3 linked regions of the Rattus norvegicus genome follow. The protein of the gene in region 3 interacts with the protein of the main gene of each other region in a pairwise test. Links are inferred from orthologs where the notes say so. Each region holds a gene or a part of one and is shown on either strand. Other genes may lie near its edges. The genes, in order: Slc38a7, Atxn1 and Sar1a.

Region 1 (4,864 bases), on a different chromosome or scaffold from region 3:
CCCTGTCCAGAGCCCCCCGGGAGCTAGCACGATACATGGTCTTATGTGGAACCTATTTTGTGGCAAGGAAAACTGAAGCCCACAGAAAAGAATGTGTCCAGGATGCCCTCTCCCATACTCATTGCCAGACCTGTTGGTTCCAGCACATTCTGTAAGCCCTTGTAAGGATCTCCAGGCCAGATCCTTTTCTGAGCTTTTATATGAACCCAGACGGCCTTTTGGATACTCCACACTATTCCTTTTATAAGGGGAATAATGACATCCGTATTCACATGACGAGGCCAAGCCTTTCATAAACTTACCTGCAGCCCGTAGCAACCAAGGGCACTGCTGGTCACAGATGAGGACCCAGGCTCAGGGACCCCACACTGCCCACTCAGCATCTCGTCCCCGTGCACTGCCCAAAGCACCCTGAGCCCCTCCTCATGTGAGCAGGGCTGTGGTGGAAGGCCTGTGGCTGCGATACAAGGGGACGCCCGTGGAGGAGGACGTGGGCCGAGAGCGCCGGCGCCGGGTCCTGCAGACGCTGGTGTGGTTCCTACTCACCCTGCTACTAGCACTCTTTATCCCTGACATTGGCAAGGTCATCTCGGTCATCGGAGGCCTGGCAGCCTGCTTCATCTTCATTTTCCCAGGTACACACCCAGGCGCCCCCATCGCTACCACACAGCAGGAGCTACCTCACCTCAGCCAGGGGCTCAACCGGCTGACAGGATAAGCAGTAGTCTCTGTTGCTCACTGACAAGGCTCAGCTCCGTGCTGCCATCCCAGCTCTGGCTCCTAGAGAGAAGGTGTGATCTCTGATTTACTGAGGCGATGAGAGGCCAGGGCAGTGGTCCTCACCCCAGGAGTTGAACAACCCTTTCACAGGGTTAAATATCCTGCATATCAAATAAGTCACATTGTGACTTACAACAGTAGCAAAGTTACAGTTATGAAGGGACGAGAATGATTCTGTAATTGGCTAATTGGTAATACAAGGAACTGCATTAAAGGGTCACAGCATTAGGAAGGTTGAGAAGCACTAAGCTGAGAGTTCAAACCAGCAGATAAGAAGCTCGATGGCCCATTTGAAGCCCTGTAGGCCCAGGTCCAGGGTCTCTGTTTGAACCCTTCATTCAAATGTGTGCACTCTTGTTTTTTTGTTTGTTTGTTTTTTTTTTCCCGGGAGCTGGGGACCGAACCCAGGGCCTTGCGCTTGCTAGCCAAGTGCTCTACCGCTGAGCTAAATCCCCAACCCCAAATGTGTGCACTCTTGACTCAAGTTCTGACTAGCTTATTCCAGTCCAGAGGGAAGGAAGCCTGGCCGTGGCACCTTAAGGTTGGAGTCATGAGACCTAAGCTGACATAGGATCAGCTGCAGACCCCCTGAAACCCGCCTTGTGTGTGTGCCTATGAGTTCTGCTGGATCCAGTTTGTTTCTGTCCAGGAGCTTCCTCAAAGCCCATCCCACTGGACATGGAGCAAGGGAGCCATACCTGCTCTGAAGTAGGCCAGATGGTGTGAGGCACTACTGGGTCCCTACTCAGTGTTACTTTAGCTCTGAGTCCTGAATATAGCCTTAGGGGTACTTCTTAGCTACTGTGCTGGCCCATCAAGAGAGAGCAGAGGGCAGGCGGCCAGCTGGGCGAGGATTGAGGCAGAGGACAAGGATATCAGACTCATTAGAAACAGGCCTTTCTCCATCACCAACGCTGCCTCTTGGCTGGGAAGGCTGGGCCTCGGGAGGGAATCCCTGAGTCCCCCAAACTCAGGATTGCATCTTTCCTTCTAGGGCTGTGCCTCATCCAAGCCAAACTCTCAGAAATGGAAGAGGTCAAACCGGCCAGGTAAAGCAGGGCCGGCCCAGCGCCTTTCAAGGGGGCGAAGAGGGGCCTTCAAATAGAGAGCCGAACACTTGAACTTTCGGGGATTCTGGGGATTGACACATGCTGCTGTTGTCTCCACACTCAGAGGCTAAGGGGAGGTTGTTAGGGGTTCAGAGTCCCTGGTGCTGTGAAACAGCTTAAAAGTCAAAGTTTTCAACTCGTGCTTTGGGGGCACAGCCGGTCCCAGAGGCAGGGGTGGGAGGAGTGTGGACATGTGTCATAGGTTAGGGACCAGCGGCAGTGGCTCTCGGCCTTCCTTCTCCATCATTTCTTCTCAGTCAGTCCAGGACCTCAGCCCCTGAAGTAGTTCAGGCCCTGTTAGGGTGAGGCTCCCCTCCTCTGTTAAACCCCTCTGGAAACACTCTTATAGGCACATCCTAGGCAACTCCAAATTCAGTCAAACTGACAATGGCAGTAAGCCATTACATTACATAGTGAGAACCAGGCTAGCCAGAGAGCTACATAGTAAGAAACACACACACACACACACACACACACACACACACACACACACACACACACGAGATCCCCTAGAAGGGCACTATGTAGCCTTAACCACCAAGCCATCTCTCCAGCCCCTGCACTGTTTCTCTTTGAGGGAAACACCTCATTCCCTGCTTTTTCCCCCCCGAGTATCTTCCCACTGGGAGACTTGCATTCTACTGCCGTGGTCCCTTTCAGCATTAGCCCCTCTAGGAACCCCTCTAGGCCTCGGTCTCCTTGATGGTGAAGTAGGGTCACATCCCTTTATGTGGGAAATTCCTAGGGAAGCCCGAAGTGCCTTGCCCGCAGACGTGAGGTGACTGACTGTATTGGCTGTTACATATATGAGTCTGAAGAAATGTGAAAAAAAAAAAAAAACCAAACGACTGAAACATTCTCTTGTCCTCTGCCCTACAGCTGGTGGGCACTGGTCAGTTATGGAGTCCTTCTGGTCACCCTGGGAGCCTTCATCTTTGGCCAGACCACAGCCAATGCCGTCTTTGTGGACCTCTTAGCCTGAACACTGCTTCCCCAAACATGTGACCAGATGCAGCTCTCAGAGCTGTGGAGCTGCCCAAGTCCCACGTACTGTTCTGGCTAGTGAGATGACATGGGGACACCTTCCCCATGGACAGTCATAAGACAATCAGCCGCAAATCTGTGGACAGATCCTGCCCAGCTGCCTTGTTTCCTGATGGCGGTCCATAGCACAGGACTGTCCCCTTCACCCAGCTCTCAACTTCAAGCCTTTGGGACTTGGGAATGGAGAGAGTCAGTGGGTCTCAGAAGAGAGAGCCTATTCTGACTTCCCTCTGGAAAAAAAAAGAACAGAAAGCATATATGCACAGGGCTGGCCTCCACACAGAGTGTGTCAGGACTGTGCTCAGTACCTCGGGGCTTAGTGCCTGCCCATGTCTCTCAGAAGCCACTGGCAGCGTCTCCTGGGACCTGGCAACTTCCAAAGGAGATGCCAACATCATAGAAATGTCCCCTGAGTCTCTGGTAGCCTCCCAAGTCTTTAGGGTCCCTACCCTAACTTTGTCCAGTCCTAACGGTCCATGTTGTACTGGTATGCTTCTACTGTGTTCCCAGACATCACCGAGTCTAATGTTTACAAACGGTGCCAGCCTGGCTCTGAGGCTGGGGGCTGCCATGCCGTGGTGCTGTGAGCACTCCTCCGTTAGCTTTTGGCATGGGCAGACGGTCTGTTGTCTTTCAGATTCCAGATAGGCCCGTCTTTTCAGAAGTTCAGGGTAGGACCTTTTAGACCATCCTTCCAGGCTGGGCTTGCCAAGGTCCAGGCAAGGTTCCAGCTCCTCCACGCCTTGTCTTCTCTCTCTTCCCGCTAAACCCAGCCCCAGGACCCAGTTAGACTGGGGACCCTGGATGTCCTCCTTAACTCTCCATCTCCCCCAGTCCCACACTCCCATCCCTCTCCCCCAGCCCTACCTCTTCATGCATGGGTCTTGTTATTTGACGGGAGAGGGTGTGGCACCAGACCCTGTCACACCGGCTTGCCTGGCTCCACACATCTGTCAGGTTTGGCCTCTGTGCCTGGGAGTCCCGCTGAGTCACACCCACCTCAGGTGAGGCCAGCTTAGATACTTCTCTATTTTGACTGCCTTAGCCTCGAACCTACCCCTGCTCACTTTTGTAAGTCCCAGGTCCAGAATTGGTCTTTCTAAATCTATTCTGTGTAAAACACATCCTAGGAGCAAAAGGGACCCTTCCCAGAAGACGACCCCACCCCCATCCCCAACTCAGGTCAGTCCTGTGGAGGCAGGAGGCTCAGTGTCCAGTCCTGCTGGATTATTCCTTTCCCATCCATCCCCAGTACCCATTCTTTCTGGTCCCACTATACTGTTTTCCCCCAGCCTCCAAAGCTGCCTTTCATGGTGGCCAATCATAAAGCTAGACGTGGCACAGAGACTGGCTAGCTGGGACAGTTGGCTAGAACCCAGCTTCTGCTTGACCTCAGGACCCCCTTCCTCCCTCTCCTTTGCCCTCTGTTTCCAGTTTCTTGCTGGTTCTTTTCTACTCAAGCACACTTGGAGAAGTAAGGATGGTTAATAAAGGGGCTTACACTGCTGAACTGTCTCCTTTATCTTGTGTTTGGGACAGAGTCTAGGCCGTAAATGTGTAGGTGACACTTGACTGTCCATAACCAGGAATGGACACCAGCAGACTTTTGCCAAAGCTAGATCTTCAGGAGGCTCTGGACAACCCCTTTCAGGTCCCTCCACTGAATCTTTACACACTGACTGGAGAGAGTCTCTTCCAGGTGTTGCTTCTGTCCTAACTCAAGCTCTCCCTCTGTCCCCTGCACCTTTCCATCCTCAGCCACCCCCTCTGATGCTGATCCATGGCCATCAAAGTCCTCAGCATCCACTGGGTCTATAAGAGGCAGGCCAGACCCTGCTTAGCGGATACAGAGTCAGGCACCTCATTCAACATGCCAAGAAAAGGACAGGCAGACACTAGCTTTGTCCCACGGTAGCCGGGCAGACAGGCCG
Region 2 (6,185 bases), on a different chromosome or scaffold from region 3:
CAAGTTTTAAAACGTAACAGTGGGGATAGGCTTTCCAAATAAACCATCTCCTTTCCGTAAACCATCTAGAAAGCCAGCCAGCACTGTCAGCAATTTTGACTATAAAGCAGGGGTTGTGCTCTTCTCTCACACTTGAAAGGGTTAAGTGCCTGCAAGGCCAAAGGCTCTAGACTGCAAAAGAAATGTTGCTTTAGTCAGCTCTGAAAGGTTTCTAGCAAGTATCAAATACTTGTTGATCTGCTCACAATAAACACCAGCAGGATTGTCCGGCTCCTTTCTCTGTCTGGGGAGAGGCATTTACATATTGTACCCAGTAGGAACAGCGTGTTGGTTTCCTTTAGAAAAGCTAAGTAGCTAGGAGCCTCATTCAGTGTCTCCCGTTCAGATGACTTGAAAGAAGATGCAATTGAAACAGTGAAGTCTCTCCCCTCGGATTCGGGCAGTTCAAATACCGTGCATAAAACACTTGGAGTAGTTCAGGCAAACCCACCTGAATGGGCCAAGGAACACTGTCTGTTGCCATGGCAGCCTGATCTAATTACATGAGTGATCTGGGCTGGAGTAAGTGTACAGAAAACTAACACCACAGACAGTATCTATGATGAGAGAGGCAGGCGGGCAGGAGGTTTCTCAGCCTCGGCTTTATGTGGAAGGTGGCATTCAAGCCCACTTATTTGCAAAGCTGCTAAAATATTGACTGATGCGTGGCCAGTTAGAGGACAATCAGAGGAGATTAAATGCCACAGTTAAGCTGTTATGGTGCAATCCCTTTCCAAGAGGGCTTGTGCATGTTTTTCCTCTCTCTGGTGGCTACCTCTAGCTTCCGCTGGCATAAGCTTCATTCAAAAATAAAATAAAAATAAAAATAAAACCCTCGGCTATCAAACTGTCTCAGCTACCCACCCACCATCAATAAACCAGAGGTTTAGGCTTAACGAGGGCTTCTAGGAATGACAGGGCTCTTCAAAAAGCCACACAGAAATGGTTTAGCAAACACTCTTGCAAAAAGTAACCAGCTGTACCTAAAAATACCCAGCCTGTAACTACCTTGTTGCCTACGATCTATAGCAATGCTGTTTAAATATTAAGAAGAGCTCGCATTATAAAACAGAAATGTCACTGAGATGACACCACTAGATTGCTACAGGGAAACATAGGACATACACACATTCCCCTGCATGCCAGGCAGGATGTGAGGTGAGAGCTCTAAAGCATTACTTTTTCTTCTGTAGGTGGTGTGGGGTCTTCTAATTTTACTAATTGTATCCTGTGACTCTCTCTCTGACAAACTAAGAAATCTCTTCGGGGACAGAACCAGTTTGGAGGAGTTCCTACTGCACAACATACGGTAAACAAAATAAAAATAGCTTGCCTTTCTTGTTAGCCACATAGCGCATTATATAACCAGCTTCCGACTGGCTCTTTTTTTTTCCGCCCTTACTACTCTTCAACAATTTCCCAACCTTCCCAAGTATTTATATTACCCTCTTATCTGTAGGATTATACAGCAAGAAAGCAAAAACAAAACAGGACAGCCACGGGATCGAACTAAACCCTTTCGTCTTAGAACCCTGATTCTCCCACCCCGCCCCCCACCCCCACCCGGCGCCCCTGGTAGAGTCTAGACCAGCACCCTACTTCCACCCCCCACCACTAAGGTCCTTGCTCAATCTCTCTAGAAAACCTGAATTGTTTCACCGCTTGCAGTCAGCTCTCTACGTGGTCTGAAATAAAATGAAAGCTCACAAGCCACAGAGTTGAAGGAGGTGGCTAAAGAGAGGTCGAAGGGCTGCAGAGTCAGCTAAGGGACCACTGTGGACCCCACTCCCCATCGCGATGGTCCTGGCCCCCCGCCCGGCGCGCGAACACACGCGCACGCACACACACACACACACACACACACACACACACACACACACACACACACACACACGCACCTACACACTCACACGCACTTACTCCCTGCTCTCCGACCCCGCCTCACCTCTCGCTCCGCCCGTCCGGCCCCTTCCCTACCCCCTGCGGGACTGGCCTGCGCGCTCGGCTGCAACCACGTAGGAGGCGGCGGCGGCGGCGGCAGCCCGGGCAGTGGCGGCGTCTCGGGCCCCGAGTGAACGAGCCGCGGGGCTCCGGGGCACATCCCAATCCCCGCAGCGCCTCCTCCGCCGCCGCCTCCTCCTTCCCCTCCTCCCGTCTTCATTCACCCTCCCTGCCGCCGCGCAGGAGAGCAGTCCCGGCGCAGGGCAGCGCCCGCAGCTCCTCCGCTACTGCCGCGGGCGCCGGCAGGGACGCCGGGCCGAGCTGGGGCGCTCGCGGGCTCCCGGCTCCCGGCTCCCGGCTCCAGCTCCGGTGGCGGCGGCTGCCGCTGCTGCTGCTGCTGCTTTGGATCAGGAAGCGGCCGCACCAACAGGGCGGCGGTGGCGGCTGCAGCTAGGGCCGGTCCCTGTCGCCTCTCCCACTGCGCTGCGATGGCCCGCGTGCCCTTGCCCCCTGAGCCGCCACCTCTCCGCGCCCCCGAGCCTCCTGCAAGTCCCCTCTAGGTCCCCTCCTGGCCCCGAGACGCTGGCCTGGGCGGGGAGACCCCAAGCTCGGGGTTGCCTCTCTCAAGCTAGGCGACCCCGGGCGGGGAAGCCCAGCCCTCCCTCGAGCCCCCGCAGCGCTCGCCGCCCCCACTCGGGAGGGGGGCTGTTGAGGAGTGAAGAGGGCAGCGCGACCCTCCGCGGCTGCCGCCTCCCCCTACGCCACACGGAAGGAGGAGGACGGGGCTCTATGCGCTCGCCGCCGCCGGACCAGCAGCAGCCGGAGCGGGGCGCCGCCGTTCTCCCCACCCGCGCCCCCCGCCCGGGCGCGCCCCCTCTCCTGGCGGCCGCCCACCCAGCCCCTAGCTGCTCCCCTTGCTAGCCGCTCCTGCTCCCAGTGGGGGTCCCGAGCCGGGAGGCAGGAGCCGGGCACTGGTGTATGTACACAGTCACACATACACTCGCGCGCGCCTGCACACACACCACACACACACACACACACACACACACACACACACACACACACACACACACACACACACACCACGACGCGTCGGTTTCCTTCGCTCCTCTTCCAGCTGTTTTCCGTGCAGCCCATTGAGACTGGGGGAGGGGGGTTTTATGCTGGATGTTTCTTTGGCCCCCTCTCCGGAGAGAGCGGATTGGGGTGCGGGAGGAGGTGATTTTAATCTAAATCGGGGGGAGGGGGAGGGGGGAGAGAAAGAATCAGAGGAGGAAAAAAAATAGCCACTTACTGTAAAGTGTAAATGGATCTGGGGTTGCGTGGGGAAGGGGGAACAGAGGGAGAGACACAGTGTCCTGCGGCTGTTGTAGCTCTAGCTGCGGCTCCACGGGGCTTGTTTTGGATCCCCCTGCAGTGAAACAGGTCCTGTACGGCTCCTCCACTGTAGTAGAAATGATGTCTGCGGTATACTCTGCTCTCTCCTCCTCCTCCTCCTCCCCCCTCCCCTCCCTCCTCCCTCCGCCCGCCCTCCCTCCCTCGCGCTCTCTCTCGCGCTCGCTCGCTCGCTCCAGTATGTAAATGTGTAATAGAAGCCAAATATGGAGCAGTTGGCTGCCGCCGCCGCAGCTCAAGGATCCGACTTCATGGGGGGGGGGGGGGGGAGAGGCACCCTCTGGCAGGCGGCCCGGCGAGCCGCACAGAGCACGGCGAGCGCACGGCGCGGCTGCCGGCCCGCGCCCTTAACCCTTCTATGCACCCGGGCTGGGGCAGCGCTCGCTCCAGGGGAGGCCGGGTGTCTCTCCGCAACTGCGACTCCAGATCCCGGACACCGACCGGAGGGAACTGTGCCTTCCAGGTTTGAGAAAGGGGCGGGGAAGTTGGGGCGATGAGGTCATTGGAGTGGTGACCGATCGGTGCTCGCGCGCCTCCCCGGCTCCCTGCAACCTAGTTGGAGGGGGACAGGGTGAGTGCAGGGTGCAACTCAGGCAACCTGGGAGACTCAGAGCAACGGGTGTCAGGCTTTGACTCCCACCTGGTAAAATACCCAAGGGGGCGGGGAAGTCGGCTGATTCTAATTACGAAGCACCCAGGGTGCCCCTGGTGAGCATCTAAGAGGACTCTTTGTATCCCCGCGGTTAACTAGCCAGCCCGCCAGTCCTGAGCCACCCGATGCTAGGCCGGTGCCTTCTGCCTTGGCTTGCAACTCCGGAAAGTTCTCAGGCTTCCCCAGCTTGCACCGGCACCCTCACCTTTCCTGCCTGGACAAGCTGGCGACCTCCTGGGCCTCCTTTCAAATTCTGCTGGTCTAGAAATCTGCTATGAGCATCGAACGTCTCAGCTCTAGCCCTGGTAACCGAACTGCTGCTCACTCCTCACAGCTAACTGTGGACCATTCATCTCATCTCAAGTGAGGTAACCCGTGCACTGAGCAGTGGATGGTGGTTCTCGGGAATCCAAGGCGAAAGAACTTCCCACCTTGGCCCGGTGGCTAAACGCAGACGCGGAGTCCCCACCCGCCCCCTCCGGCTACACCTCAGCCGGGTGTGAGCTCCGTGGGAAGGAATCTTCTCCGGAGGAGTGCACCTTGCCAACAGGTGTGGCATCCGAAGGAAGAGCCCGCACCTCCCCAGGAGGGTCGCTCGGTGTGGCGATCTCTTTGCTGCAGATAATTCTTGAAGACCAGTAGGTGTCAGGCCAGCATCTGACCTCTTTCAGGTGCTTAAAACTAAGAGTCTGGAAACTTGATCCCTTGGTCTCGCTGGAAGCCACTACTATTGACTGTAGCTGGATTTGAGAGACCTTTTGGCTCAGTTTACGTAGGACCTAACAGTTAGTCACTATCTGAAGCAGCGTACAGAGTCACCGAGAGAAACGTGTGAGCTTTTAAACTACTGTATTGTGGAGCCCGCACTTCAGAAGTTAAAAAAGAAATGCCGTGTGTGTGTGTGTGTGTGTGTGTGTGTGTGTGTGTGTGTGTGTGTGTGTGTGTGTGTAGGATACAAATCTATTCTCAGGTTTTGAAACACCGTGCACACATCCACGGTTGTTTAAATAGAACTACAACTGTTCTCTTCCCCCTCCCCGCCCCCACCGCCCCTCTCCCCCGTAACTGTGTTGTTCACTTAAAGATCCATGATTGTTAGACTTCATATGCTAAAGTGACATTACTGGTCTCCTTACAGCCTCTAGTGGACGGTTAAAGTGAGTTTCCTGTGGAGGCTCTGTCTAGTTTTGTTTTCCCTTCTGCACTTTCTCCAGGTGAAGGTTAATAGTTCAGAGCTTAACTGACTGCTATCTTTCACTCCCTCTTGGTAAAGCTGTCTTTGAAACTGAACAGAAGCTTGTTGGCTGCGTGTGGAAGAGAGGCGTCTGCTTTGTGCTACAGGTATTGTTTCTGCTGGCCTGTGAAATCGACAAAGCTTCTGTTAATTCGCTTCAGTTGCAGACAGCTTTCATAAAAAAAATAAATTTAATCTAAAATATTTTTATAACAGAAAATATTGGTTGCCATGTTTTTGGCGTAACTGAGATGTTTTTATTCCAGCTCATAATTTGCAAACTGTCCAATCCACCTCCACTCTATTTTTAGACATCTTAGATTTAGAAAATTTTCAAGGGAAATAACTAATATTGTAATTATTACGTTGATGCAAGCGGTTAATTTGCGTTATTTTAACAACCTTAAACATATTAAAACACATAATTCATATTAGACTTAGTCAATTAATTTAAATGTTCCCTGAAGAAAGCTAAATATGTACATAATCCACACAGTAAAAATAATTAATAAGAAATGTGTTGTTTACTTTCCTAGCCATTAAGATTAAAGCCATAAACTGTCACACACACACACACACACACACACACACACACACACACTACCTACAGTTATTGCTTCCTGCAAGGTCCAACAGAGACATAATAATCATGAAGCAATTTCATTACTTGAATACTGAGCTGTTTTGTTTCCCGAAGACAAAATGTCAAATACATCATCCCAGAAGTAACAAGAGCGGTTCTTTAAAAGCAAAAGTTCTTGTGTGAATAAAACCTCGATGGAAAGAGAACAGGGTTTTCAAGGTGGCAGGTGTGTAGCACCAGCTCTTAAACCCAAATCTGAAATTATATTTGTACAACTATCAGTCAAGCTGTGTAGTGAAGTAAAACTGAGGAAGAGGCCCCCCTGTGCTTTACTCTTAATC
Region 3 (5,049 bases):
ACTGTACTCCTCAGCCATACGCCTGCCCTCTTTATCTGTCTTCTGTATCCAGTAAATGAAGGTGTGTTACAAAAGGCAGTCTTCTTTCAATATTTTTTATGTCTGTGTGTTCGCTTGCGTGTGACTGTGTACCATGCATACTGCGATGCCCATGGTGTCGGGGTGGTGCTGCTCACCCTGGCATTGGTGTTTGACAGATGCTTCTTAGCCACCATGTGATGCTAGTATTTACTTATTTTTTGAGACAAGGTCTGTGTAGACCAGACTGGCCTCAGACTCAGAGATATGCTGGTCTCTGCCTCCTCAGTGCTGGGATTGAAGGCAAGTGCCAGCGTATCTGACTTCAATCCACTTAAAGAAGTTTCTGGGGCTGAGGAGGTGGCTTGGTTCTTAGCATCCATATTGGGCAGCTCCCAACCACTTGTAACTCCAGCTCCAGGGATGCCCACGGCCTCCACGAGCACTGCATTCTCCTGTACATTGCCACAGACATCCATATATACATTTAAAGATTTATTTATTATATATAAGTACACTGTAGCTATCTTCAGACATACCAGAAGGGGGCATTGGATCCCATTACAGATGGTTGTGAGCCACCATGTGGTTGCTGGGAATTGAACTCACTCAGGACCTCTAGAAGAGCAGTCAGCGCTCTTAACCGCTGAGCCATCTCTCCAGCCCTAAAAAGTATTATATATGCTTTTTCAGGTATTACGATAAAAGCATTTGGTTATCCTAGTGCCTCTTGCTGATAGAAGTGAAACTCTTTAATTTTATTTTGCAAATGAAGGAACAGTACTTTGTTCAGGACTGCATGGCAAAGTATAATAAAAGCAGAATAGAAGTGGGATATCCTATATCAGTGTGCCCAGCTGTCTATACTATATCTAGACCAGGGAGGCTCTGGTCTAGAAAGGCAGGCTGATGAGAGAGAAAATACAGAAATAAAGCCAGGTACTTAGTGTGTATGTACATACTTGTTCATGTATGCAGAGGCCCGAGGTCAGCTCTGGCACTCATTTATTGGGCTAAGTTGACTGACCTGAGAGCTTCAGGCATCCACCTGTCTCTACTCTCAGCACTGGAAGTTCGGGTGTGGGCCATCGTGCCTGGCTTCCTCTGTGGTGCTGGAGATCAGAGCTCAGGTCTGTGTGGGTTTGTGCTACTGAATATGGAGGTCCTGACAGACCTTTCTGGGTTTTGCCTCCCTTAGGGGAATGTGACTCTGAAGGAGCTGAACGCCCGCCCCATGGAAGTGTTCATGTGCAGTGTGCTCAAGAGGCAAGGCTACGGCGAGGGTTTCCGCTGGCTTTCCCAGTATATTGACTGATGTTTGGACAGTGAAAATAAAGAGTTTTACTTCTGGACTGATCCTATTCACAGCTTCCTCATGGACTTTTCTAATAGAACAAGGAAAGCTCTCCAACCATGTATGGCATTGAGAAGCCACGCATCTGTCTACGCTCATTGCCCAGTGGTGACATGTGCTCTTCTCCACACTGCCTGCGGCTGCTGCCGGGCAGTGTGCCGGGACGGGGCTGGCAGCATTTGCCAGGGAAAGCTGGGTGCCATCATGGGACACCCGAGAAGAAAAACATGTCTCACCACTGGTTGATTTCAAAAGAAAGTGATTCTATTTTTTAAAGAAAGTGTTGTTAATGTAATTGGTATCCCTTCTCTAACTTTTTGAGTTCACAATTTACTTGGTCCAGATTTTCTATTCTTTTTTTTTTTTTAAACTAGTAAATGAAATTTAGATATTTCATAAAATTATGAACAGATAGCGCGATGGAGGCCAGAGCTTCGCTGTGTGACTGCCTGTTGAAGGTGGTGCCTGAGCACAGGCGGGGAGAGGACAGCCTTGGCTTACCCGCCATGGTCTCCACCATCATCTGGAGTGGGTAAAGTGTCATGATCACGTTGTCAACTTCATTTGCAGTTACCGGTTTCAGCAGGCTTTGCTTTTATACTGTTGTGGAATTTCATCTCTCTGTGTAGCACCTTCCTTTTTTCACTGTAGATATAAGAAGTGACTTTTGCCTCATGAGGGAATTAAGGACATCTCTCATGTAGACCCTGTGCTGGGGGTGTGACTCTGATGCTTTTGAACATACGCTAGAGGGACGGTTCTGAACAGGATGCAGGGCAAAATCAGCAGCTTAAGGCTCTAGATTCTGTGAGATGCTACCCATCTGATCTGGAAGCAATGAGGGAACCTAGGAAAAACTCTGAGGGGCTCTTGTGTTTTCTTCAGAAATAACAGAGCAAACCCAGGTGGCCTGGCAGCAGCGAGTGCTAGTGTGGGGGCAGCAGCGGCTGTGAGGACCATGAACAGGACTTTTATATATAGCATTTGCTTGTCTTGCTGCTGTGTGTGAGGTTGAATTTTCCTGATGTTAACTTTGTATTGTACCCGTGGAGTGGATGAGACGGTCTGCAGACAGGAGGGTGTCTTGATTCTGATTTCCTCTAATGCACCGTGTGAGTACGTTCGTAAGTGGAAATTATGCTGCTGCTGTTTTCTGTCAGACTCATGTCCAGCGTGAGGGTAGAGAAGGTAGGAGCACACCGGGGAGTGACTTATCACGTTTTAGTTTTGAGCACTGAGTTCATGGGACAGTGTTCTGTTACACTGCCAGGTCCCCAATGCAGAGGCTCGGTGGGGTGTCTGTCTGCAAACTGCATGTGTTGCCTTCACCGACGGACAGCTGGAATGAGAACTGTCAGTGCGGAGGGGCCTTTGTTAAAGCCTTGAGTGAGCTGGGTAGGTAGGGTGTGCCCTTCATTGCCTTGGCTAAAGACTGTCCACATGTCTGTCCAGGCACATGACAGGTGTGATGGCCTCGGTGTTGGGTTCCTCATTTGTCTTTCTCGTTTGTCCCTAATTGCTCGGAAACAACCTAGAAGACTGGATGGACCCTGTCCAGGGTGGCTCTTTGTGAAAGTGGTTTATTCTAGCCACTGGAGAAAGAGATGGCTGAAAAGTGGCACCAGTCTGCTTCATGCTGCACAGAGCACCATCTTCCATAAACTGGCCAAGAGGTTGCTGCAGTGAGTGCAACTCCACCTGAGGGCCAGGGCCTTGACCAGGGGCTCCAATGAACTGAGACTTCATTCTGTTTATCAGAGTGCACGTGTCCTGTTTCAGCAAACGTAAAACTGTCATTTACAAAAGAAGGTCAGTCTGTATCCTAAGCATTTTAATAAAAAGCTAAAATGAACTTGCCTCTTTTTTTTTTTTTTTTTTTCCACTGATTTGCTCTGAGTGAATACAAAATGCTGGGAAGAAAAACAAAAATTCTCCCTTACATACAGGGAGGAACATTTGCAGAGACTGTGAGTCTTGAATTGCTACCCGGATAAAAGGCAAAGGGAAAACGGCTGGGAACTAATAGCAAATGCAGTACTGTTTGAGCATCTTGGATCATGCCTGAGGTTTTTGGTCATCTTTGCAACAGTGCTAATGACTGCTTGCACATACTAGCTAGCAGAATCATCCAATATCCCGAGTGAGCCATACTTGGCAAAACAGAAGTCTGATTTCACATTTACATTATTGTTGCTTATAGAAAGCACCAGAGGTTGGGGATTCAGCTCAGTGGTAGAGCACTTGCCTAGCAAGTGCAAGGCCCTGGGTTCAGTCCTCAGCTCTGGGGAAAAAAAAAAGCACCAGAAGACAGAACAAAATCCAAAACACAACATGCTGGATGTGCCCTGAGGTCACCTTTACAGGGGAAGGAGACTGGTTCTGTGGGCAAAGAGTGTTTGCTGGGGACAGAGGGACCCGAGAGTCAGAGTCTAGTTCTGAGGGCTTTAACATTAGATGCTGATGGCTGACTTGGGATATCTATACTGTGACCAGCCCTAAACAGATAACTTGATAAGGAACAGGACTGGAGGCTTGAAGGGCATCAAGGGACAATTATTGGATTCTAGAGTCTTAATTGCCAGGAAGTTGGGGAAGGTAGACTTTGTGGTCATCTGTGTCTGCAAACCAGGACTGCCTGCTCTGAGAAGGCCACTTTATTTCTGCCCCCTGCCTCCCTCCCCCACCTCCAGCCACTGTTTTCCCTTTTCAGGTAGGTTTGTGACACAGGAGCACTGGAAGCAATAGGTGTGATGGCTGGGAAAGCAACACCAGTGTTAATTTCATTACGAGAAGTTATGAAACAAAACAAATGGGTTTTTTTTCACAGTATGCTAGAAATCTCACTGTTAATACCTATTTTAGTGATTCAAAGCATACTTTGGGGAGGTTTATGAAGTTTCTCCAAACATACCTGTTATTGCTCACCTGTCGGACATAATTTGGAAAGTGAGGACCTCCTTTATAGTATCTAAGTGTATGTGTGTTTGCCTGCCTGAGTCATGAGTCAGCAGATGCCAGAAGACAGTATTAGGTATCCTGGAGCTGTAATTACAATCAACTGTAAGGTACCATGTGGTACTAGGAACCAAACTAGGGTCCACGGTAAAAGCAGGAACAGCTCATAACTGTTGAGCCCTCCTCTCTAGTCTTGATTTTTTACACTTGTAAATGGTGGAGGAGCACAATTTTGAGATAGGAGTTGTGTATGAAACTCAAGTTTATGAGACTGGGGTATATGCTGAGTATTTGGAGGTGAAGATTTTATTGCCCACAAAACCTGAACTATTCCAATCTAGACTTTTCTAAGTATTTACTCCCGATCTAATATAAATCCTGAGTGGTTAGAAATGTCATGTGAAATACGCATGCTTGGAAGTATACATGGTTAAATAATTTTACCCATGGGTAAAGTAAAACTGTAACCCTTGGACTCTAGGGAGGCTGTAGGCAGAAGGGTTGCCAAAGTTCGATGCCAGTGTGGGCCAAAAAGTGGCACGTTGTCTCAAAAACAATTCTAAAAGCTATGTATTGTGGGAATTTTAGTTAACTGTCCTGGGAATAATTTTGTGAGTAGTCTGCCCCCTAGTGGATTGTTGTAGGGTTTAAATTTTATTTTATTTTTTTTTAATAAAAGCGGGGCTTGGTGGCTCGAGCCTTTGATCCCAAGGTTTGGGAGG

The links.
Region 1: the proteins of Sar1a (region 3) and Slc38a7 interact in binary tests that used the Homo sapiens proteins (3 or more experiments, as listed by UniProt). The link is inferred for Rattus norvegicus from reciprocal best matches to the Homo sapiens genes SAR1A and SLC38A7.
Region 2: the proteins of Sar1a (region 3) and Atxn1 interact in binary tests that used the Homo sapiens proteins (3 or more experiments, as listed by UniProt). The link is inferred for Rattus norvegicus from reciprocal best matches to the Homo sapiens genes SAR1A and ATXN1.

What each region holds. Positions count from the first base shown.
Region 1 is NC_086037.1:9,227,150-9,232,013, forward strand, and holds the end of Slc38a7 (sodium-coupled neutral amino acid transporter 7), read left to right. Parts: intron 1-435; coding exon 436-635; intron 636-1,774; coding exon 1,775-1,829; intron 1,830-2,768; coding exon 2,769-2,871; 3' UTR 2,872-3,176; downstream 3,177-4,864. UniProt on the Homo sapiens protein: Symporter that selectively cotransports sodium ions and amino acids, such as L-glutamine and L-asparagine from the lysosome into the cytoplasm and may participates in mTORC1 activation. The transport activity requires an acidic lysosomal lumen.
Region 2 is NC_086035.1:18,941,051-18,947,235, reverse strand, and holds the start of Atxn1 (ataxin-1), read right to left. Parts: upstream 3,468-6,185; 5' UTR 3,275-3,467; intron 3,218-3,274; exon of another isoform or gene 3,064-3,217; intron 2,127-3,063; exon of another isoform or gene 1,985-2,126; intron 1,949-1,984; exon of another isoform or gene 1,747-1,948; intron 1,587-1,746; exon of another isoform or gene 1-1,586. UniProt on the Homo sapiens protein: Chromatin-binding factor that repress Notch signaling in the absence of Notch intracellular domain by acting as a CBF1 corepressor. Binds to the HEY promoter and might assist, along with NCOR2, RBPJ-mediated repression. Binds RNA in vitro.
Region 3 is NC_086038.1:30,175,495-30,180,543, forward strand, and holds the end of Sar1a (GTP-binding protein SAR1a), read left to right. Parts: intron 1-1,216; coding exon 1,217-1,333; 3' UTR 1,334-3,224; downstream 3,225-5,049. UniProt on the Homo sapiens protein: Small GTPase that cycles between an active GTP-bound and an inactive GDP-bound state and mainly functions in vesicle-mediated endoplasmic reticulum (ER) to Golgi transport.